Linked DNA regions of Arabidopsis thaliana. The protein of the gene in region 1 interacts with the protein of each later gene in a pairwise test. Each region holds a gene or a part of one and is shown on either strand. Other genes may lie near its edges.

Region 1 (8,492 bases):
CCTATGGTTTGATTCATCTGATTGGTTACAGGTTATAACAAGTCTTTTTCTCATTCTTCACTAGATATTAAGTGTATCATATATGTACTTGACCATGTTATGGAACTCGAGTAAAACAAAAGAGTCATAAAAGTAGGGTTGTTGTTCATACAGTGGAGCTGCCTTTTGGTCTGCGTTGGATCGATTTGGGTTAAAAAGGATAAAATAGCATCTTACATGCTAATGGCTGGAGTTGCTGCTTCAAGGCTTGGCTTGTGGATGTTTGATCTTGCCGTCATCCAACAAATGCAGGTATGTTTACATTTCTTTAGCTTATATAGTTACAGCACACGTATTCTTTAAAGACTTATAATAAGAACGTTTCGTAATGTTTTTGGTCATGTGTTAGGATCTTGTTTCAGAATCCGACCGTTGTGTGGTTGGAGGTGTTCAGAACTCACTGCAATCGGCTCTTGACTTGATGGCATATCTTTTAGGTATCATTGTCTCCAATCCAAAGGTAAATAAATTCCAGTTTATATTCTAAGGATCCATATATAGATAATGACTCTTTTTATCCATCAAATGCAAAATTTACGTTTTCATACAATCAAGGTCATAATATTTATGGACTTTTTTATTTCAGGATTTTTGGATATTGACGTTGATCTCATTCTCCACAGTATCGTTGGCAGGAATGCTCTATACAATTCACCTCTACCGCATAAGAAACCATATTTTTCATCTTGAGAAGATTCCTTTGTTGAACAAATGTATATTCAAGTTGCTCCCTTCTCGTGGAAACGTGTAATTCATAATGTTGTGGAATGTGCCACGATTTCTCCGACATGGATAACTAGAAATGGGGTGGTTTTATGACATGACCATAAAGCAGCCAAAAATGAATCAAATGGCTTAAATGATTGGTTAAATAGGTCAAAGATATAGTCAAAAGAAAACACCCACAAAATAGGTCAGTGACAATTTTGTGATGTGTTAAAGACAACTTTCAGTGACAATTTTGTGATGTGTTAAAGACAACTTTCCTCCGTTTTTTGTATGAATTCACTCTGTTTTGTATGAACTCACTTTTATGTAGTTCTATAATAACAATGAAAATTTTCCATTTTATCTTTTGGGAATAGAATTCTGTATTAAAAATCAATACTGAAATAACATTCATCATTAGTAGTAGAAACAGTTGAAAACTCCCAGATATTTGTGTTTGCTTAATAAAGTACACACTCCATTATTATATGTTAATAAAGAAACATTAAGAAGATTGATGAAGTCTCTTCTTGGCATTCTCTGCTTCATCGGTTGCGTCAACTTGCATTTTTGTCTCCGTTAGATGAGCCTCCGTAGCTTCCTTCTCGTTCTTTGCCGTCAATCTCTTTGTCTTCCAAACCAAAATAAAAATAAAAGATTATAACAAAATGAAACTAATCAATAAGGAAATTAACGAGACACCAAATACGTCAAGTGATCATTGATTCAAGAAGACCCATGAGTCTCTGATCCGCTTGTTTCAGTGGCTCGAAACAAGACTCTTGTATACGCACCTGGCCAACAAAAAAGGCTTTGACATAGCTAAACCCTTCCTGGCATGTTACTGCCATGGATAAACAGTTAGTCTTCACTCGATCGGACAAAGACTTCGCCGGCTGTCGTGATGTCTCGGCGTCTTGCATCGCTGCTTTTTCGAGATAGATAGATTGCTTGAAACTTGAAAGCAAGACTAGGAAATATCTCACTTTCTTGTGCCAATGATGATTTTTTTTAACTATTAATGATTCTGGAAGCAACTCTTGCCACGTCTGTTTTACGTGTTAGCTGTAGAGATACCGACGTGTATTAAAGCAAGAGGCTATTTTACTTTGGGCCTTTTGGGCTTTTGGGCTGAAGAAAGAAACTGTCATCGGATCAACAAACACTGCATAGTTTGCAACTTGCACGGTAAAGCGACACAAAATCCATGACGTTTAATTTAGGTTCCACGTGAAGAACCATACCACATATCGTGCAATAAGAAACTGATCACTTTTATATACCTAAACGATTTACAATTTACACTACTATGCTTGACACGATATGTAATTTTTTTTTTTTTGCCAAAGGGTGTTGTTATTGATATTAAACATTGTACAATACAACGTACATAGACTGTTTATATAAAACAAGGACGTCTAGATAAAAAAAGCAAATAACAAATATTACAAGACTAGTTAAGGAAACAACAAACTGAGTAAGGTTTTATGTACAAAACAGAGACGACTACCAAAGAAGAGGGCCAGACGTGGTAGCAGTGATGGAAGACAAACATCCTGACATCTCAATAAGAACATTTATGGCTACTTCAAATACATATATACACAATATGTAATTCTCTTATTACATTTATGGCTACTTCAAATACATATATACAAAAAAAAAAGGCCTACCTTCGACAGAAGTTATACCAATTTATTGATCGGAAGCTACAAAATGTTATCTAGGGTCAATTTGTAGCCTATCTCTATATCAAAACCGATACGGATACAAAATAGTTTGATAATCATAGAATTTAACATTCTAATAAATATTTGTTTCTAGTATTCTTTAAATGAATAATCTTGTGTTCAATTAGTCTATTCATAGTAGAATTAAGTCTCCTAAAAAATAGATTGAAACCAAAAACAGCCGCACATGGATTTAATATCGACTTTAGTTAGGAGGTTTTGCTAAAAATAGTAAAATACTCACAAACTCACTTCTAAATACTAATCTTTTACACTCATGTCATGTGCTTTAAAGATATGAGAGAACCTTTCCTAGTACACCTACAGTCAAAATTTTCAAGATTCCGAAATTTTCTAGGTTTTTTGAGCAAGAGCCAAGAATCCCAAATGTTTGAATTTGTATTTTTGATCCAAAAATACTACAACATCGTATAAAGAATAAATCATACGTGTCAGAACGAGACATATGAAGATGATGAAAGCATTGAGCCGCCCCTCAAAAAATCCGTTCAACGTTTGAGAGTCAAGGCCACAAGGTCTGACCAATCTATCTCTTCTCCTTCTTCTTCTAATCATATTTTCAACGGTCAAACTTTTTATCACCTTCTCAGAAACTACTCTTCTTCATATGTGACCCTAAAAATAAAAACGAACAATTAAACAAAATTTTAAAATAATATAATATTCACCAATCAGACGTGCAATATGTTTTATATATTCAGACATAACCAACAAATATACAGAAACAAGAAGAAGAACAAGAACCATCACTTCTCTCATTTTCTTCTTCTCCAAGCCCCCCTCCTTTCTATATATATCTGAAATTGGTCTTTTATAAAACAAACTTCCATTTTTCGTATGGCTGCTTCTTTTCTTACAATGGACAATAGCAGAACCAGACAAAACATGAATGGTTCTGCTAATTGGTCACAACAATCCGGAAGAACATCTACTTCCTCTTTGGAAGATCTTGAGATACCAAAGTTCAGATCTTTTGCTCCTTCTTCAATCTCTATCTCTCCTTCTCTTGTCTCTCCTTCCACTTGTTTCAGTCCCTCTCTTTTTCTCGATTCCCCTGCTTTTGTCTCCTCCTCTGCTAACGTAAGCCTCTCTGTTTTTTTTCTCTGTTTCTTTTGAAATGAATCCAATTAGTGATGATAATCTGTGTTTGATGTATCATTGATTTAACATCTTGACAATGAATCGTGATCGGAAGTGATAAAGTTATGGGTCAACGGTTTCAAAGAGAGAGAAAGACTTTTAGAGTCAACTCTCGACTCTTTCTTAATTATGTTATTGCTATTTGTCTCTTTTCTTGAAGTCTGAACAATTCTTGGGATTGTTTTGCAGGTTCTAGCTTCTCCAACCACAGGAGCTTTAATCACAAACGTAACTAACCAGAAAGGTATAAATGAAGGAGACAAGAGCAACAACAACAACTTTAACTTATTCGATTTCTCATTCCACACACAATCATCAGGAGTTTCTGCTCCGACCACAACTACAACTACAACTACAACTACAACAACAACAAACAGTTCTATCTTTCAATCTCAGGTATGTACTTCATCAACAGCTCAAATCCTCTGTTTATGAGTTTTTCTATAACTTTGTTTTGAGTTTCAGGAACAACAGAAGAAGAACCAGTCAGAACAATGGAGCCAAACCGAGACTCGTCCAAACAATCAAGCTGTATCTTACAATGGAAGAGAGCAAAGGAAAGGAGAGGATGGTTACAATTGGAGAAAGTACGGACAAAAACAGGTGAAAGGAAGTGAGAATCCTCGGAGTTACTATAAGTGTACTTTCCCTAATTGTCCAACGAAGAAGAAAGTGGAGAGATCTTTGGAAGGTCAGATCACAGAGATTGTGTATAAAGGAAGCCACAACCATCCTAAACCTCAGTCTACTAGAAGATCTTCTTCGTCTTCTTCGACTTTTCATTCAGCTGTGTACAATGCCAGTTTGGATCATAATCGTCAAGCTTCTTCTGATCAGCCTAATTCCAATAATAGCTTTCATCAGTCTGATTCCTTTGGGATGCAACAAGAGGATAATACTACTTCTGATTCTGTTGGTGACGATGAGTTCGAACAAGGCTCATCGATTGTCAGCAGAGACGAAGAAGATTGTGGGAGTGAACCTGAAGCAAAGAGATGGTACAGATCATCATCACCCTCCAAATTTGCTACTCTTTGAACAATCTTGAATATGAAAGTTCTAAAATGTATGTTTTTTTGTGTTTTCAGGAAAGGGGACAATGAAACAAATGGTGGGAATGGTGGTGGAAGCAAGACAGTGAGAGAGCCGAGAATCGTAGTGCAGACAACGAGTGATATTGACATTCTTGACGACGGTTACAGATGGAGAAAATACGGCCAGAAAGTCGTTAAGGGAAACCCAAATCCAAGGTAATAACATAAACAATTGTGCATCTCAATAACTCAGAATTAAGGTTCTTGAGAATCTGACCTTTTGTTTTCTTTTCATTTGCTGAATCTTAACAGAAGCTACTACAAGTGCACAACCATCGGTTGTCCAGTGAGGAAACATGTGGAGAGAGCATCACACGACATGAGAGCAGTAATCACAACCTACGAAGGGAAACACAACCACGATGTTCCTGCAGCTCGTGGTAGCGGTTACGCCACAAACAGAGCACCACAGGATTCGTCTTCAGTCCCGATTAGACCAGCTGCTATTGCTGGTCACTCCAACTACACTACTTCTTCTCAAGCACCATATACACTTCAGATGCTGCACAACAACAACACTAATACCGGGCCTTTTGGTTACGCCATGAACAACAATAACAACAACAGCAACCTTCAAACGCAACAAAACTTTGTTGGTGGTGGATTCTCTAGAGCAAAGGAAGAACCAAACGAGGAGACCTCATTTTTCGATTCGTTTATGCCCTGAAGAAAAAAGGAACCAGTTGTTCCTTTTTTATGTTCCTTTTGTACATTTCTGCCACCAAAGGATTTTACTACTTACTAGTTATCCTGCAGGATAGTAAGTCAGACTTCTATAGTCCATAGAGAAATTTTTTCATTTGTTTTTTCACACGCCTGTAATATGTTTAATGTTTGTACTTTGTACCATAGAACTAGAACACGGAATAAAACCAATCAATTTTCAGTTTCTTCACTTTGAATAATGAATCAAAGAAGCACACACACACACACACAGTGACACAGGGAGACACAGTGACAGTCTGACAGACCCAAATAACAGAAGTTGATATCAGCTATAAGAACACATAAAAGAATTGACATTTACATGTATAACAAAGATCACAATGGTATATAACTACTGAAGCACATTATTGCAAAGAGATCTTCAGATAAAAGAATGAGTGGAGAGTTTGTAACCGGAGAAGAGAGCAGAGAGAGCTAAAGCAATGAATGCGAAGATAGCCATACTTATAGCAGAAGCAGCAGAATCAGTGAAAATGTTATCTTGACCTTCTCTGAATATGTTTGTCAATGGAATTGCAGATGATGCAGCTGATATAAGCAAATACGCCACAATCTGCAAATTTCACTTTTTTGCATAAAAATCATAACTTTACATATATAAATCTGAGAATTGATAATCAGTTTGTGGCATTACCTGGTCGCCGGAGAAATCGACCAAAATAGAAGTCCGGCGATCGAAAATTTCCCTTTTTGAGAAATGTGCAAATGTTTGCCACGCAGTGTATAATGTTGAAATAATCGAAATCGCCAATACATATCTGAAGCAATATAAGAAATTTCAAAACTTTGATCGATATTACGCAAACCCAATTTCAAATTCCAGTATCAAAAAACGGAAATCGAACCTGTACTCTTCGTAGTCATTGAAGTTTCTACCGTAACCATGTTTATTAGAGACCATAATTAAGAAAGCAATAAGAGAGAACAAAAGACAGATTCCTCTCGTAATCGGAGATGCTTTCTTTATCAAATCCTCTCTTTTCCATCTCTGAGTAATCGTCGACGTTCCAGATGCCGGCGTCGGCTCCGACGTCTTCTCCGCCGCAGATTCCACGTCAGTAGCTTCAACCGGTTTCATGTTATCGGGATTCGTCATATTACAGATCTCAAAACTTTGGTCGGAATTGGTTCTGTTTTTAATGCGAAGATTCGGGACGAGGAATAACAAACTTGGAAGAAAAGAAAAACTGATTAGTTTTGGAAAACGTAATTAAGGTTTCGAGTTTTATATGTTAAATTGAAGAAAACGCGTGGTGGCGGGAGTGATTTATGGTAATTGGTAAGCATTAAGCAATGTGATTAAGACTAACAGTTCTGTGTCATGTGTGTTAGTTAATCGTGGCTTGCATTTAGACAGCGAAGCATGCTCATTGGTCAGGATCATTGTGTTTCATTGGTATTATTTTTAAGAGATTTTTCTATATCTATTTATCTATTCTATGGTGATAATGTTTTCTAATCTATATGGTAATATATGGTTTTAGGATTTGGGATGTTTAATCAATTCCATAACTTTTGTGCTAAGAATGGAATTGTTCTTCACAATCTTTTTATGGAAAGCTTTATATCAAAGTCTGATTGGAGAATTTATGGACAGTTGATTTGTTTTTTTTTTCTCATTGGAAGATTGTGTTTTCTGTATAAAGGAATGTTAATTAACTTTATTACATAACAAGAGTTGGAAACAAACATTATAAAAACTGAAATTTGTTATTTCTTTTTAGCAAAAAAAAAACAAAAAAAAACAAGTTCATTGGAAATTACTTGGAAATAGATTGTTGTCATTTGTCAATATGAAGAGCATAAGTAAGAACTTCCATAAGTCTAGATCAATGATGTGTGCATTAGAAGTACCAAATCATTCGAGGCAGTTTAAGTTCCCATTCTAATTGGACCAATGACGAAGACCAAGGCAAAGAAAATCTTAAAGATGCTTTCAATGATAAGGGGATGATTCAAGACTTGTTGAGTCCACTAGAGAAGTTACCTACGGAGTTCAAATCCAATCCATTTTGAGTCTATTGTCCGACCAATAACTGTAAAAACAGTTATTTCTGTTTTGTTCTTAGCTCAACAAATATAACAACAATTTTGATCTTAATGGAGGAAGAAGGTTTTAATGTGAGAGACTTGTAATGGCTTTGGGAACTTATTAGAGTTCACATTTCACAACCTTTTTTTTTATCGAAAAGAAAAATAAATAAATAAAACTTTATAGAGTTCAACGTGATGATACAATTATCAACATTTGCATTGACCACCACCACACTAAATCTTCTGAGCTTGGCGTTAGCGTCACGTCGAGTTACGGTAGGGTCGTGTGTTTGACGTGAGTTTGAGATTTATTTTTTGTTTATTTTAATGTCATTTGTTTTTCAAAACACACAATTTAACTTTGCTAATTTCATAAGAGTATACTTATTTCTTATCTCTGATAGCTTCGATAGACTTACCATACACTTAACACGTAATTACCGACAGCTGATATTGCTTTATAACAATCCTCTCTCTCTTTTTCTATGACGTCGACTAATTTAATTTGCATAGTAAGTTTTTTAATGGGATCACACCACTATCCAAATAACATAGGTTATCTAGTTCTGTTATAGAAAGTTACTGAATATATCTATGTCAAATCAAATGTATGCGTTGGAAGCTATAGTTTTTGTATTTCTAAAATTAGCATTGGACCACAAACTCCCCAAAACAAATAAAACATTGATGCTTTGGCTAGAATTTTGTGATCTATCTTATAGACTTGTACGGTTATATATACCAATCATGTTTTAACGGAATTGCCAAGTGGTAATCAGCAGTGACAACTATTCGTTAATCTGTAACATTCATATATATGTTTTTAATACAAACTCAAATAAACATTCATACATAAAAGATCCTGAAATACTTCGTACGATTGCCAAACAAAATCAACAACGATAAATATTACAAACGGTGTAGCATGTCCCTTAGCGCAAAATAAGGCCCAAGTTTGCAAACACACACGGTCACACATAAAAGGCTACAAAGTTCAAAT
Region 2 (7,321 bases), 2.2 Mb from region 1:
TTGTGATGCAATTTTGGGAAAACTGAATCGGGAGATTTATGAATAAGACTTGGGATTGAAGAAATCGGAAGATGATAATTTTCTGGACGATAATGGAAGTAATTTGGAAAAAAATAAGTCGTCGCCTGAGAGATTCGAACTCTCGCGGGGAAACCCCATGTACTTAGCAGGCACACGCCTTAACCACTCGGCCAAAGCGACTTCTTGCTGTAGTTTTGAAACTTAACTATTAGAATTCAAAATCCTGAGATGGCACCACAACTTTTTGGTGACATCAAATCTACATATTTTGTATTTTTTTTTAAAACTAAGTTATTAATTCTCTATTTTTTATTTAAGAAATGTAAAACTGAGAATTCTAATAGAAATAAATTAGTGATTTTTTTAAGAAAAAAAATCTCTATTAACATTTTTTACCAAGATCAGTTTACCAATATTTAGATTTTTGTTTCTATTCATAATAAATTCATGTTTTTGGAATTTTAATCAAGTTTGACAGCTGCTTATTAGCAAATACTAGTATCAATATAAAGGGAAATCAGATACATTTTGGTAAAAATAAATAAAATCAATACAATTTGACCAATGCTATATGAACAAAATAACACTCATAATTTTTTTAATCTTTGAATAGAAAAGAATACCAAAACTTTGAAGATACGCAGCCATCTTTCCTATTACACACGTTCCCATTAGATTATAAGAATCTTAAGGGATCTCATTTGTTTCTTCTAAATTTCCTCAACCACCAACCACCTTCTCAATGTCGTCCTCCTCTACCCAAAACCAATTGGAGATGCGGGATTACACGTGTCCGGAATGTAACATAGGTCTTAGGGTTCTCTCATTGCCTTCCGCTTCTCCTCCATACTGTCCTCTATGCAATGTCGCTTCTTACTTCACTTCTTCGACCCCTTTTGAAGTAGGTCCTAATCCTTTCGAAGACGATGAGGAATCTCAGTTTCTCGATCCCATGGAATCTCTTCCGACCATTAAGATCTCATCTTCAATGTTGTCTTCCGCTTCCTCAGACGATTCTGCTTTACCATGTGCCATTTGCAGAGAAGATTTCGTGGTTGGAGAATCTGCTAGGAGATTGCCATGCAACCATTTATACCATAATGATTGCATTATTCCTTGGCTCACAAGTCATAACTCGTGCCCTCTCTGTCGAGTTGAGCTCCCGGTTGCATCTAGTGAAGACGATAGTGGTCTGGACATGTGGTTTGATGCTTTGAACCTAGAGGACGACTTGGAGGAAGAAGCGGGAGTCACGCTCGATTTGGAGCAAAGTTTAGACGGCTAAAATTCTAGCTATAGGGTCCATCGATGTACGTTTTATAACGTTTTCACATCTATATATATAGATCTACCTTGATACTAATATATGATTTCAAATCTATATGGACTTATCTTATCATCAATAAATCTACCTTGATACTTTCAATGCATGTGTCGTTTATTTAGTCGTGTCCATGTAGTCGAGGTATCGCAAGAAATGACGAAGGTCTGGTCGTGTTTCATGCTAGAGCTTCATTCACCCGACTAGAGTCTCTGGTGACGTACCGGTACACTACGATGTGTCTTATCGACTCTTGAAGGTCTACGCAACTTGCACATTAATCGAGTGAAAATAGTATCTGACAATGTTGCGGCGATGAAGGCAATCAATAATCCCAAATAATGGCCAAATATTGCATTCTCTTGTGCAAAGTTTATAGCATATTAGCTGGGCTCAATTCATGGGAGTGCCACCGAGTAGCGGTATATTCTAATAAAGTTACTAGAGCTATTGTGAGAAGCATTATGCGAGATGGGAGACTTCAATCATATTTGGCGCTTGGAGAGTTTTCTTGTATTCAAGATCAAGTGCTTTCTAATAAAGCGTAATTTTATTCTAGGTTTTCAAAATTGATCTTATCGTTTACGTTGTGTTTCAAACTTTTTGTTCTAACTCCGATACGTTTAATTAGGAAACAAAATCCGTCTTATTAGCTAAGATGACCTTTTAATTAGATTTGGGCCTGCTTTCGAACAATTAATAAAAAGACAATTGTGAAATATAGAGTAAACAACAACTAGTGTTATAGTGGAGGAAGGCAAAATTCTTAAAGGAATAAAAAAAAAAATTCTTCATACATCACATTGGACATGTATATTGAATGAAAAAAAAAAAGAATCACTGAACTCCAGTTGACGGTTTTTTTTTTTTTTTTTAATGAACTCCACTCTCTAAATATCTAAATTGATGGATGATATGATTTCTAATTTATGGCCTTTGCATATATATATTTGTTTTAAGCAGTTCGCATATGTAGAACAAGTCTCCCAGTCCGCGTAATGGCATTTAATAATGACTACATAGATTTTTTTCCCCCAAATTTATGTTATTCACCTGATTTAAAACAAACAAACATACAGCTATTTTTTTTTTTTGGTGGAACAAACATACAGCTATTTATGTAACCATACAGCTATTTATATCGAATCTCTGAGATTTATGTAACCAAATGCGCCAATTATATCAAATAGTATGGTTTACATTTATAGATTTAAATAAGTTTGACTTCTAAATGGATTGACGTTAATATAAACAGAATAATTATCAATACTGAAAGTCTGCAACTAATATGACCTCTCCCTATGATCATAGGCTATTGTTTGCAAGAATTAATTAATCAAGGTCAAAACCACCAAATAGTGGTTTCGTACAAGAATTCACCAAAAAGAGTGATATTGTATAAGTAAAACCAAAATTATCACACTTAGGCCAAAGCAACATCGAAAGGTGGACTACATAGGCGGTAGGCTTCAAGAATTCACCAAAAAGAGTGGTGTTGTATACTTGTATAAGTACATATATTATATTCTGCTTATTTCAAATTAAATGTAATTTTGTAGAAATGATCATTATTGCAAATATGTTGTAACGACTAGAAAATAAAACACAGTTCCGTGTGTAAGTTTTCTAAGACCTCTCGATAATACTCGAATTCTAATTCGACTCTCCAATTATCTAAATATGTTTTTTTGCAATATAAATAACGACAAATTACGTAATGTCAACGGAGGTTAAATCCACCCTGTCGCTCTTGTTTGCTTCTTTGGCAAAACAAAAGTCAACTATTATTTTATTTCTTTGCAACTTTCAAATTCTTTATTGTAGGTTTGTATGTCATTTTTGTATAAAATATTTCTTTCGTACAAAATAATTACTTAAATAAAAACCAACGAGTACACATTTTTTCTTTGTTTTTAAGCACACAAAGGCATATCTATCCGTGTCGACACCTCAAACATGTGTAGATGAATGATCTCATGCATATGTAAGTGTCTAAACATAGAGATGAAAATTGATGAGATAGACATTACAAACCTATTTAAGTGGGGATAGTTTAGAAGGTAACTTTTGGTTTTATTAAAACTAAATTCAAACAAAATTAGCTTATACGAAAATTAATGATCTGCGTCAAGTGGGATCTTCATGTTTATTACCTTGGTATAGTTATATATATATATATATAAATTATAAGAAATATGACTTAAAGAGCATCATCAAACCAAAGAAAGTGAAATAAAACTTATGATTTGAATTAGGTCGGTTTTCAAGTGACCGTTTCCTGAGTCAGATTTTGACCCCACAAATCGATATAAAATTGCATGCCATTTTAGTTTCCATCTACTAATATTGTTATAAGTTATGATAAAGTAAAATTCCACACACGACGTCATTAGCCAAAACAATATAACGGGACTATCAATCATTTGATCATGTAGAGACGCCCAAACCGTAGATTCATTATTACGGCTTAGACAAAAAATGAAACTAGTAAAAGAAGTGTTTTCAAATAGAATTAGCATCATATTTAATTATTTTTCTACAGAAACTATAGGGAAGCCAAAAACAGAACAGAACAGACATGCCGACAAATTAAAACTTTCACACACACAGACACATTTGCGACCAAATTAAAGACATATATATGGCTCACGCTATCTGTTTAGATATTCTAACTATATGATGTTTGTATAATATTATAGTTTAGATTTATCGTCAGTTGATTAATCACAAATCATAAACACATTATTTTATTCCGACTGTAAATTAAAAATTAAACTAAAATGTACTAGTGTAAAATAATAGTGATACACACATAAAACTTTATTTAAATCAAGTTGTTGTTGTGTGTCATGGAGGCAGGTCCATAGCTGTTTCGTTATACACCTTCTTTGTTATTTCAATATTCAAGTTTGTTGTTAATTTAATGTTATTGACTAACCAACAATCCAATATATTTATAATTATCTATATATAAATAACCCGCCGCAGTATTATTCCACGGCATACGAATTATTTTGGTTCAAATTACAGATATCTAAAAAAGGATCAAATCTTTTCTCAATCGTTTATAGTTTCTTCAATGGAGATTACTCAATATCAAAGTTTTCATGAAGGTTCGAGTTCTAGGGTTTCCATGAACAGGAATTCACAAGTAATATCCAAGATCAAACCCAAGATTCGCATAATCCATATATTTGCACCGGAGGTCATCAAGACCGACGTCAAGAACTTTCGTTCACTCGTCCAGAGTCTAACCGGGAAACCGGCACCGGGAGAAGCCAAAACCGGTAAAAAGAGAGCCAAATCAAGAATTACGACTCCCCAAGAACCGGTTTGCGATGATCATCAGCCGGTCAACAGGCTTTCGGGTTTCACCGGTTTACTAGCAAACGGAGGAAACCACCAGGTGAAAGAAGAGTGGGGATCAGGTGATCAGAGTACTTCGAACACAAACACGTACTTTGATCTAGAAGGTTTAATTCAAGATGTCGGAGAAGATTACTTCTCTTCGTTTCCCATGAGATCCTCTTCTTCTTCACAAGTCGAAGGTTTCATCTTCAACAACAACAACAACAACAACAACAACAACAACAACAACAACAACAACAACACCAACTTCGATACAAAGGCTCATAATTCGTCTTAATTAATAACAGATTAATTTCTAGGGTTTTCAATCTTATTGATTCTGCAAATCGCATTTGGTGAGATGAGATCTAATCGCAACGATAAGGTCATATTTTGTGGGAGAAAAAAGGCATAGAAGTTGTATATAGATATAACAAATGGGTATGATGAGAGACATAAACTTTTGGCGGGACTGACTTTGCCAAGGTTGAGAGTTGTGATGAAGAGAGTTTAATCTACGTGCAGCCCTTCTAGGAGAAGTGGCTGTATCTAATTAAGATGTGGTCGGTCAAAAAAGCCCTAGTTTTATTATGTAACTTCATTGATGTGCTATTATTGGATGTGTATTAATTCTTTGGTGTGCAGATAAATGTGATGATTGCTGTACTTTAATTTTGGGGAAAAAGTTTGTATGGAATTAGAACAAGGATCGACTTGTTTTCGATATAGATACTCTGATTGATTGTGTATATTGAATATCGATACTTACATAACGGTTATTCGGTTAAAGTACAGTTACACTAATTAAATTAAACTGTAAGTTAACAAGAATATTCTGGCTCAAGCTAAATTATTTTTTTTATTATTATTGTTTACTAATCTTTTGTTACAAATGTTGAAAATGATATTTATTATACATGTAGTACTTCAACTAAAATAAATAACGTGTTTTCATATTTGATGTACGTGTATAATATATCATTTTCAACAGTGAGTAATATTAACCCTTTTATCAAAATAAAGTAAAACAAAATGATATAACCTATCAACAAAATGCAAAGAAAATTGATCCGAACCGAATATAGCCGTAACGGTACACCAAAATTGTTTTGAGATTTTAGTGTCCGTTGACCTTTTCATATAAAGCCAAATTATTCGGTCTGGTTTCCAAAAGAACGAAAAGGTATATGATTACGGTTTACTCCCTTGCTTCTGTGTTTTGGTTTAGTTTGGTTTACCTTCTCAAAGTTCTCGAACGTCAACATTTATTTTATCTTATTTTGTAAGGTTCTGCACATGTTATACTTATTAATTAGTCTACTTTTTCAGGCATTGGGATTATTTGTTTTAGTCTAAATCGGTTTTGGTTGCATAATATTGGATGAAAACATTGTAAAGGACAATTTCAAACCTGACTTTTCTAGATTTGGAAACGTTCCGGCTGCTTGAAAAGCTCACATAAATATTAGTATGATTTCTTAAACCAAAAATAAATGATGATTATCAACAATACCGTAAATAAGGCAAAGGAAATAAATGATGATTATCAACAATTGCCGAAAATAACCACACCGGTACACCGAAATTGTTTTTGAGATTCATAAAACCGGAATAATACGCCTAAAGGTTATTTTCTCCAATACCGGTTTAGTTTGGTTTGCCTTCTCAAAGTACTCGAAGGTCAAAATTGGAATTTAGTAATAAACCTGCTCCAGCTATATACAAATGTCATTTGCTCACCTTTCGCCGATTGATTTTGTACATCACACGCAGACGCAGCTTTTAGTATTTTTTTCAACAATCGCTTTTTTTTTTCTCGATCTCCGTGAAGCTCTCGAATCTCTGGTATGTTTCTTCGCTTCTTCATAGTGTTTCTCATTTCCTTTTGGTCTTCCATAATTTTCGGAGAATCTAGTCCTGTTTTTCTCTTCTTCTGGAATCTGAATTCGCCGGTGAATTCCGCTGATCGAATCTCTGAGTTTTGTTGAATTATTTGATTCGGCGATAAAACTTTTTTTGTTTGTTTCTGATTTTGGTGAGTGTTGATTGCTTGAGTTTTTTCACGGATCGATTTGTTTTGAGAATTGGGTGGATACTGTCTGTCACAGGTTTTGAGTTTTGGAGAATGGTGTTTTTCCGCAGCGTATCGGCCTTTACTAGGCTGAGGTCTCGCGTCGTAAGTATTTGAAAATTTTGTTTCCAGTTTTGTGTTTGTTCTCGTTTGATCTCGCTGGTTCATGCTAATCGATTGATTGGTGATCGAATCTATGTAAGCAGGGCCAACAATCTTCACTCAGCAATTCTGTCAGATGGATTCAGATGCAGAGCTCTACCGACCTGGTAAATCATCTCCGTTGCTTCGTACTTTCGTGTGTGATCGTGATCATGTAGTTTTCATGATCATGATCATATGTAAGTTTAATATTGGTTTGGGATCTGCTGCTTGTGGGGTCTTTGTTCATTTTGTTTAAATGGTGGCAATGCAGGACCTGAAGTCGCAGCTGCAAGAGTTAATTCCGGAACAGCAGGTTAGATTAGACTCTGTTTGCTTTAAATGAAAATTTGTGTTGTTGACTTTTTTTTTTCATTGAATGTGTGTATTATTTGTTATGTTAGCTGAGATTGTTAAGT
Region 3 (7,382 bases), on another chromosome or scaffold:
CAAATCGCCACCTCCTACTGTGGTGATGGTGTCGATCACGCCGAGCTCCAAGGCGGCTTTGAGAACCATAGGTGATGCGGCTGCATTCGCGAGCCTTCTCGCTAGCAATCTTGCCTCTTCTTCAACCTCTTGTTCTTCTTTAACTCGATCCGGTTTGGTTAAGGGGACTTGGAGATGGTTTGCCATTGTTCTTGTTTGAAAAAATAATATTAGAGGAGTGATGCTAAATATGAGGATAGGTTTCAACTTTCATACTTTGTGCCATTTTATAGAGTCATATCTCAATATAGTGTTACATAGATTTGATTAGCTGACCCCAAGATTTGATATACATCCAACATTAGGTCTTTCTTTTCTCTTCAACACACTATGTCTACTGTTTTTTTTATTTGTTATGGTGGCCATGCAAGAACATGTTCGTTCAATTAGCCAGTTTCATTAAAGTTATATTTAGGTAAACATATTAGCAAAACATCAATTGTAGAGACTAGGTGAACAAAATCGACCGCACCCTAATCGTTAGAAAACATCAAAACTAAGTATTCTTACATAATATAGTAGATGTCGATTCAAAGAAAATCATTTTCCTAAAAGCAAAAAGAATTACAAGAAGTGAAGATGCTAATATTAGCACATTTGGAACTAGTCTACAACGGAATTTGCTTGTCTCGTGGTCAAAACCTCCCTATTCAACCGGAGAGTACTAATCTAACAACGTCACGTTTCAAATACTAAACTGACACCCAATCACAAAATTCCACGTGTACGTAACTACAAGGTTCCCCACAAGTATATAAACATCTACCCATAATGCTCTTTCATCACACAACTCATAATTACAAAAGCTAAACAGTTCTCTAAAATCAAAGTAACTTTTTTCCGAAGAGAAGATTAGAAAATGTCTAACAACAGTCAGAGCATGAGCTTCAACGCTGGCCAAGCTAAAGGCCAAACTCAGGTTTTGTTAAACGATCGTTTTTTAGAAACTTTAATATCCATTGTTATTTTTGAGTTAATGGAGTATTCATTAGAAGGTAACTAAAATTTGTTATAGGAGAAGGCAAGCAACTTGATAGACAAGGCCTCCAATGCTGCCCAATCTGCTAAGGAATCTATCCAAGAGGTTTATTTTCTTTTCTTATTCTTTAATAGTATATTTTTGTGAAATAATTTGAGAATTCAGAAAATTTAATAATTTGGAAAAACAAAATATAGGGTGGACAGCAGCTGAAGCAGAAGGCACAAGGTGCGAGTGAGACCATTAAGGAAAAGACCGGCATCAGCAAATGAGAAGCACGTTCTAATAATAATTTATGTTTTCAGTTTTCGTTTTTATTCTACCAGAAAAATAATTAGATAGATATGTCTATCTAAATCCAAGAATATGGATTTCGATCGAAGCCATTTAGGCAATTACTTTTGCTTTTCTATGTTTTTTTTCTATATATCTATATATCTAAGAGTTTTTGACTCTTGTCTATTGATAATTTGTAGCCATGCAGTTATTTCTATAATATTTAAATAAATGACATGATTACATGAAACTATAGCTTAAATTTTTTATTTTATATAAGCAATGATTGCGGCTAAATTTATTCTCTTTGTTACCATGACTAGACAAGTTGGATTATAGTTTCGATTAGTGACATGTTAAATAGTGAAAATGGTGGAACCTATCATTTCAGAGGAAAAAAAGAACACACATTGTTGTGAAGCAACTGATTGTTTTGTTTTATTATTCCGTTTTTCATACTCATGTATGTGTGTATATATATATGCATGTAAATGTCGAGTACGATACGAATATCATCTGGTGCATGCACTTTTGATCATTGTGATATGTATATTACTATTTACCGATAATAGGTCTTATAAGTAGTTTTATTTCGTGAAGAATTAGTTGCCATTAAGTTTTTTTTATATAATAAGATCGACATATAATATGCTCGCTTTGCATGTTTATGCAATAAGAGGGAATCTTTAACCACTTGGGTTCTAGAAGACACTAATGATTTGAAGTTTGAAAGAATTTGATCCCTCATGGAGGGACGACATTTTTACACCAATTGGAATTCGAGTCCCCACAATTTTTACCTTTATCGTATTCTTTTTTTCTTTTTTTGGCTTCTTAGTTTTTGTTGTTTTTCCATTAATACTAAAATAATTTAAAGAACAAAAAAAACAGAATTGGATACTATCTCCATTTTAATCTTGTTTCCTCATGTGCTCACACTGATTTGTGTAAATGTTGTTGTTAGTAGTAAACTCTCAATAAAGGAGAACCTATTCGCACTAAGATATATAAGTTCAATATTTTTATTTTTAATTATGTTAGAGAATATTTGTACTGCATTTTCTATTGGTAGCTTGATATTAATAAAAACTTTTAGTACAACATCTTTTCAAAATTTGACCTTTATGCTATACATATTACTCTCATACAAATTGAAATATAAATCATTGAGTACAACGTCTTGTCAAAAATTTCTTTATGCTTATTCATACACGCTATAACTAACCGATATTGATATTAATATTCCTTTTTAGGTAAGAAAACAAGTGGGTGCCTATAAGTTGAAATCTTTAGAAGTACAAAATAATTCAAGAAGGATAGATACAAGAAAATGCAAAATACCCCTTAATATGATAGATACTACAAACTAACCTTGGACATAATACAAAAACTTGAAATCTTAATGCAACATAATGTACTACTAGAAAATGGGATTATGTAACTTACATATTTGTATTAGTGTCGCAACCGTATCATATTCTAAATTCAAAGAATAGTGAATATGTTTTGAGTTAAAGACAAAAAAAAAATTACACCAGTGTTATGTCACCACCACCAGTGTTATGTCACCACCACCATCACCACCACAACCGTTGCTACATTCTCACCAATGTCACCATAATTGGTATTTAGTTGTGGCAGAAGTGTGGGTTGTTGTAGATAATATCAATTTTATATAAAGAGAGATTAATAGTCATTTCTTCTCATCCCTAAAAAAACATATATTTAAATTTCTTAGTGAAAATGACTTCATTTCAGTTTCCATTACTAGTATAAATGTGTTTATATATATAGAAATTAGAAAATTACAGTTTCCATTATTTTATACTCTGAAATTGATCGTACATAAATTGGTAATTGGAAGGTAGTTTTTGCTTTTTCTTTCTAGATACAATGTTAAGTTCCTAATGAATATTTTTAATATTTTATATGAAATAGGTCCAAATATTACAAGTTCATGTATTTGAGTTATCATTTGCTACCATGAATATTTGCAAGACAGAAAATATATCAAAATCTCATGTGGGGACATAAATCATAGACATTTAAATCTTATCCGTTATTGTAGACAAACAAAAATCAATTTATTTTTTTTATTGTAGAGCGTAATAATTTTATAACGTGTGTCAACATAAACGGTAATTACAAATTGCTTTAGATTAAACAATTAAACATGTGAGGAGAACAGACGAATTTGATAAAAAGGAACAAAAGAGCATGCCAAAAATTTAAGAACATCAGCATTGTTAACATTGAGTCTATGAGTATAGATTCTACAGGAAAATTCTCAATAATTGTTCTTCGACCTATAGAAATTATTCTAATATCATGGTTCATGGATATGGGCGTCATCAAATTCCAGATAAACAGTGTATATCACTATAGTTTTAATTAGAAACCTGATTTGATGTTCTTTAATATACGATTCTTAATGGATATCCAAAAATAGGTATGTATGTAATTTTCTACTTCAATAGCAAGAGTATCAAAAAAAGTTTAATTAGTTCGATAAGTATCAAGAGTAAACTTTTATATGTATCAATATCAAACTCTTGATATCAAAGTTTAATTAGTTCACCGTAATGGTCTTAGTTATGTAGGTTGATTAGAAAAAAATAATGATGGACATCGATATGTATAAATACTATAATCCATCATTTAAGAGTCATTTGTATATTTTATACGTTGTTGATGGTAAACATTGTAAATTTTGGCTTAGACATTCTTGTGACGAAAAATCATTATTTCAAGCCAATTTTTTTTTTCTTACACGGTATTGTCTTCTGATATAAAATGTCGTATGGAATAAATAAGCCCCTTAACCCAATTATCCAGAAGAAGAAAAAAATCTTGGCAGCTATTCAAACACTTGTTGATTCGTATAAGAGAAATGATGATGATGTTAGACGTAGATGTATAGTATAATGTACATAGTCTACGGAACACGAATCTAACAAAATTATGTTTTTAATTTCCAAAGTTTTTTAAGAGAAAGAAAGAGAATGAGAGATGGGTCCATGACACCTCACTTTTTAAAGTCTTTTTAATTGTCGTCGCACGACAAAACTAAACAACATTACACATTATTCACATCAGCAACTTCCACTCTTCTTCTTCTCTTCAATCATTCTCTCTCTCTCTTTCCCTCTTATACACATCAACACAACACGAAGACATCTCTCATTAATGGAAGTTTCAACATCATCCATGTCTTCAAAACCAGAACAAATGCAAAACCCACCTCCTATGATCTCATCTCCTAGGTTTCAGCCTCAGATAATATCTCCTCATCATCATGACCAGCATCAACATCTCTCAAATCCTTATCCAACAACATTTGTTCAAGCAGACACTTCTACTTTCAAACAAGTCGTTCAGATGCTTACCGGCTCATCCACCGATACCACCACCGGAAAACACCACGAAGCTCCTTCTCCGGTGAACAACAACAACAAGGGATCAAGTTTCTCGATTCCACCCATCAAGAAAACCAACAGCTTCAAGCTTTACGAGAGAAGACAAAACAACAACAACATGTTCGCTAAGAATGACCTAATGATCAATACGTTAAGGCTTCAAAACTCTCAGAGATTGATGTTCACAGGAGGAAACAGCAGTCATCATCAAAGCCCGAGATTCTCTCCAAGAAACAGTTCATCATCAGAAAATATTCTTCTGTCTCCAAGCATGCTGGATTTTCCGAAGCTAGGGCTAAACAGTCCCGTGACGCCACTGAGAAGCAACGATGACCCCTTCAACAAGTCATCACCTTTGTCATTAGGGAACTCATCGGAAGAAGACAAAGCCATTGCTGATAAGGGCTTTTATCTTCATCCATCTCCAGTCTCAACTCCTAGAGACTCTCAGCCACTGCTTCTTCCTCTTTTTCCGGTTGCTTCTCCGGCGAGGAACTCTTAATCCCGACGATATCCATGAGTGATTTTATACATGATATTAAATTATATCTATCTCCGGATTTTGTTTAGCTATAACTAAGATATCTATAAGTTTGATCATAGTTATGGAGTGACTGTAAATTTTGTGCGGTTTTTTTCACTTTCAATCTCAAAAATTAATTGCAATATATGTAATTGGGAGGCATAAGTATATATATTCATGATGATACTCATATTTATAATACTCATTGTCCTTTTTGTTTTTCCAAAAGTTCGTTTATAGTTTTGCTCTTACGATTGTTACTTCAACGTGTGCCACTCAATATCGAGATCAATGTAGAGAATCGATTTATGTCTATGCTCGAATTTATGATATAGACTTAAATTTCCAAAAAAGTAAAAACCTATTTTGATGAAACAAAGAAATACATAGAGTTCTTACTTTAAAAATATAATCTATGAAAGTCTCTATTGGATTGGAAAACATGAGTGGATTGAATGCAATGGTCATTGTCAATAAGTATCTATTGGAAGTTGGACTTGTAAAAATATTTAATATTTCTTAATAATACTAGAAAGTTTCATAAAGACATTTATCAAAAGAAAAAAAGAAAATTCAAAGAGACAATTTGAAATAGAAAGACTCGTGAAAGAAATTTCTGACCAGGTTCGACACGTAGTATTGGACCATTTCGGTATATGATGACTTAGAATTTGATGGAGTCATCATGGAGGCACGTTTGGTCTTTTACTAAAATTTCTTTGACTTTCTCTTCTTCATTCTATTTTTCTTTTCTTAAAGAAATAGATATACGTTAATACTGTTCTTCTGTTGCTTTGTCTTTTTGACTTGAAAGGACAAAAAAATAATCTTTGAATGAAAATTTTTAAAAAAAAGAGAAAAGTGGAGAGAAAGAGTGTAAAAGTAAAAGACGAAATAAGTAGTCCGTTATGATGAGAGTTGAAAACCAAGCAAAAGTCGAATCATCTTTGCTTCACATTACAAGCAACTTCCACTTCAATTTGCCCACAACTTTCCTATTCACATTTTCTGAAATTTCCGAAACTTGCATAAAATAATTTTCATATATGCGGCCGAACTTATAATGTTTTTTATATATACACTGAAGACCAAGTTGATGTTTATCATTTTGTATATATAACTTATATACATTTAACTTGGAACCAATGTTGCCAATACTTTTTCTTTGGCTTATTTTTTCTCAAGATTATTCAAATCAATAGATATAAATAATTTATATAAAAAAAAATAGTCAATTAATGAATGTATCAAGAAACATAAGCAAGACTATGCATATAGTTAAAGGCTAATGACCATAAATAATAACTTCACATGTTGGTTTCTTCAACAATAATATTCTTAGTAAAGTAGAGAATGTATAACAACTTCACAAGTACTAGAGCATCTTGGTACTGCATGGAGTGTCTGGCGAATGTGGTTTACATTTGCCTCATCCTTATACATATAATCAATCTTTAGAGTCAATTTCTCCAGAATTGTTGAATTCTCCAAGAAGTACCTAGCTACTTTCAGTTCTGTTCCACATCCCAAGAGCTGACTTTCCAATTTAACAAACTTGAGCGACGATACCAAACACGGTGGTGGTACTGTCGAAGACATCACCTCTTCTTTTTTATTCTTTTCATAGTCAACCAATTTCTAAGAAAACGAAAAAAAATACAAGAAAACAAGTTAGTAATAGAGAAGCTTCACTAAAAATTGCTTTACTATTAGAGAGGGTCAAGCAATTCATCACCAAGCTGAGAGATTCTAGTTTCGGGCAGCTCTTAAGAAGATTTAGCAGCATTTCCAGATTAGAAATAGAACAAACAGCACTCAATTCGGACAGGTAACAAAATTGTTGCAAAGGTTCTAATTCCATGTAATGAAAGATGTCCTGGTAAAAAGTAAAAATAAAGAATGTTAAGAGATAATATATATTTTATAGAAAAAAGATTTTGATACTCACATATATTTGTCACATGTATACCTTGATAGTACCATGTCTAATGACTAGAGACCTGACCCTTGAAATAGTGGTGAAGAAATCACGCGTCATGCTTCTATTGGATAAGTCGTTTGGATCAAGCAAGTTGACGTCAATATCTACCTTGGTAGTGAAACCTAGATTGATGAATTCAATGCTCTTTATTGAGTGAGCTTTAATACT

Evidence for each region. Proteins that work in one complex are often made in the same cells at the same time.
Region 2: the proteins of WRKY33 (region 1) and AT2G44340 interact in a two-hybrid assay, tested with the Arabidopsis thaliana proteins (one study listed by BioGRID).
Region 3: the proteins of WRKY33 (region 1) and AT5G53830 interact in a two-hybrid assay, tested with the Arabidopsis thaliana proteins (one study listed by BioGRID).

The regions. Positions count from the first base shown.
Region 1 is NC_003071.7:16,105,141-16,113,632, forward strand, and holds WRKY33 (WRKY DNA-binding protein 33), read left to right. Parts: upstream 1-3,094; 5' UTR 3,095-3,335; coding exon 3,336-3,578; exon of another isoform or gene 3,579-3,827; coding exon 3,828-4,034; intron 4,035-4,103; coding exon 4,104-4,636; intron 4,637-4,726; coding exon 4,727-4,888; intron 4,889-4,984; coding exon 4,985-5,399; 3' UTR 5,400-5,626; downstream 5,627-8,492. Other genes in the region: IREG1 (iron regulated 1), read left to right, coding at 154-291, 389-499, 626-790; AT2G38465 (uncharacterized protein), read right to left, coding at 1,253-1,378, 1,542-1,670; AT2G38480 (Uncharacterized protein family (UPF0497)), read right to left, coding at 5,820-6,011, 6,093-6,216, 6,304-6,554.
Region 2 is NC_003071.7:18,309,858-18,317,178, forward strand, and holds AT2G44340 (VQ motif-containing protein), read left to right. Parts: upstream 1-4,330; 5' UTR 4,331-4,421; coding exon 4,422-4,988; 3' UTR 4,989-5,465; downstream 5,466-7,321. Other genes in the region: AT2G44330 (RING/U-box superfamily protein), read left to right, coding at 764-1,306; ATCS (Citrate synthase family protein), read left to right, coding at 6,816-6,866, 6,965-7,030, 7,177-7,218. UniProt on the Arabidopsis thaliana protein: May function as positive regulator of plant growth.
Region 3 is NC_003076.8:21,852,577-21,859,958, forward strand, and holds AT5G53830 (VQ motif-containing protein), read left to right. Parts: upstream 1-4,371; 5' UTR 4,372-4,480; coding exon 4,481-5,212; 3' UTR 5,213-5,526; downstream 5,527-7,382. Other genes in the region: AT5G53810 (O-methyltransferase family protein), read right to left, coding at 1-186; AT5G53820 (Late embryogenesis abundant protein (LEA) family protein), read left to right, coding at 899-958, 1,055-1,123, 1,216-1,290; AT5G53840 (F-box/RNI-like/FBD-like domains-containing protein), read right to left, coding at 6,572-6,871, 6,969-7,109, 7,203-7,382. UniProt on the Arabidopsis thaliana protein: May modulate WRKY transcription factor activities.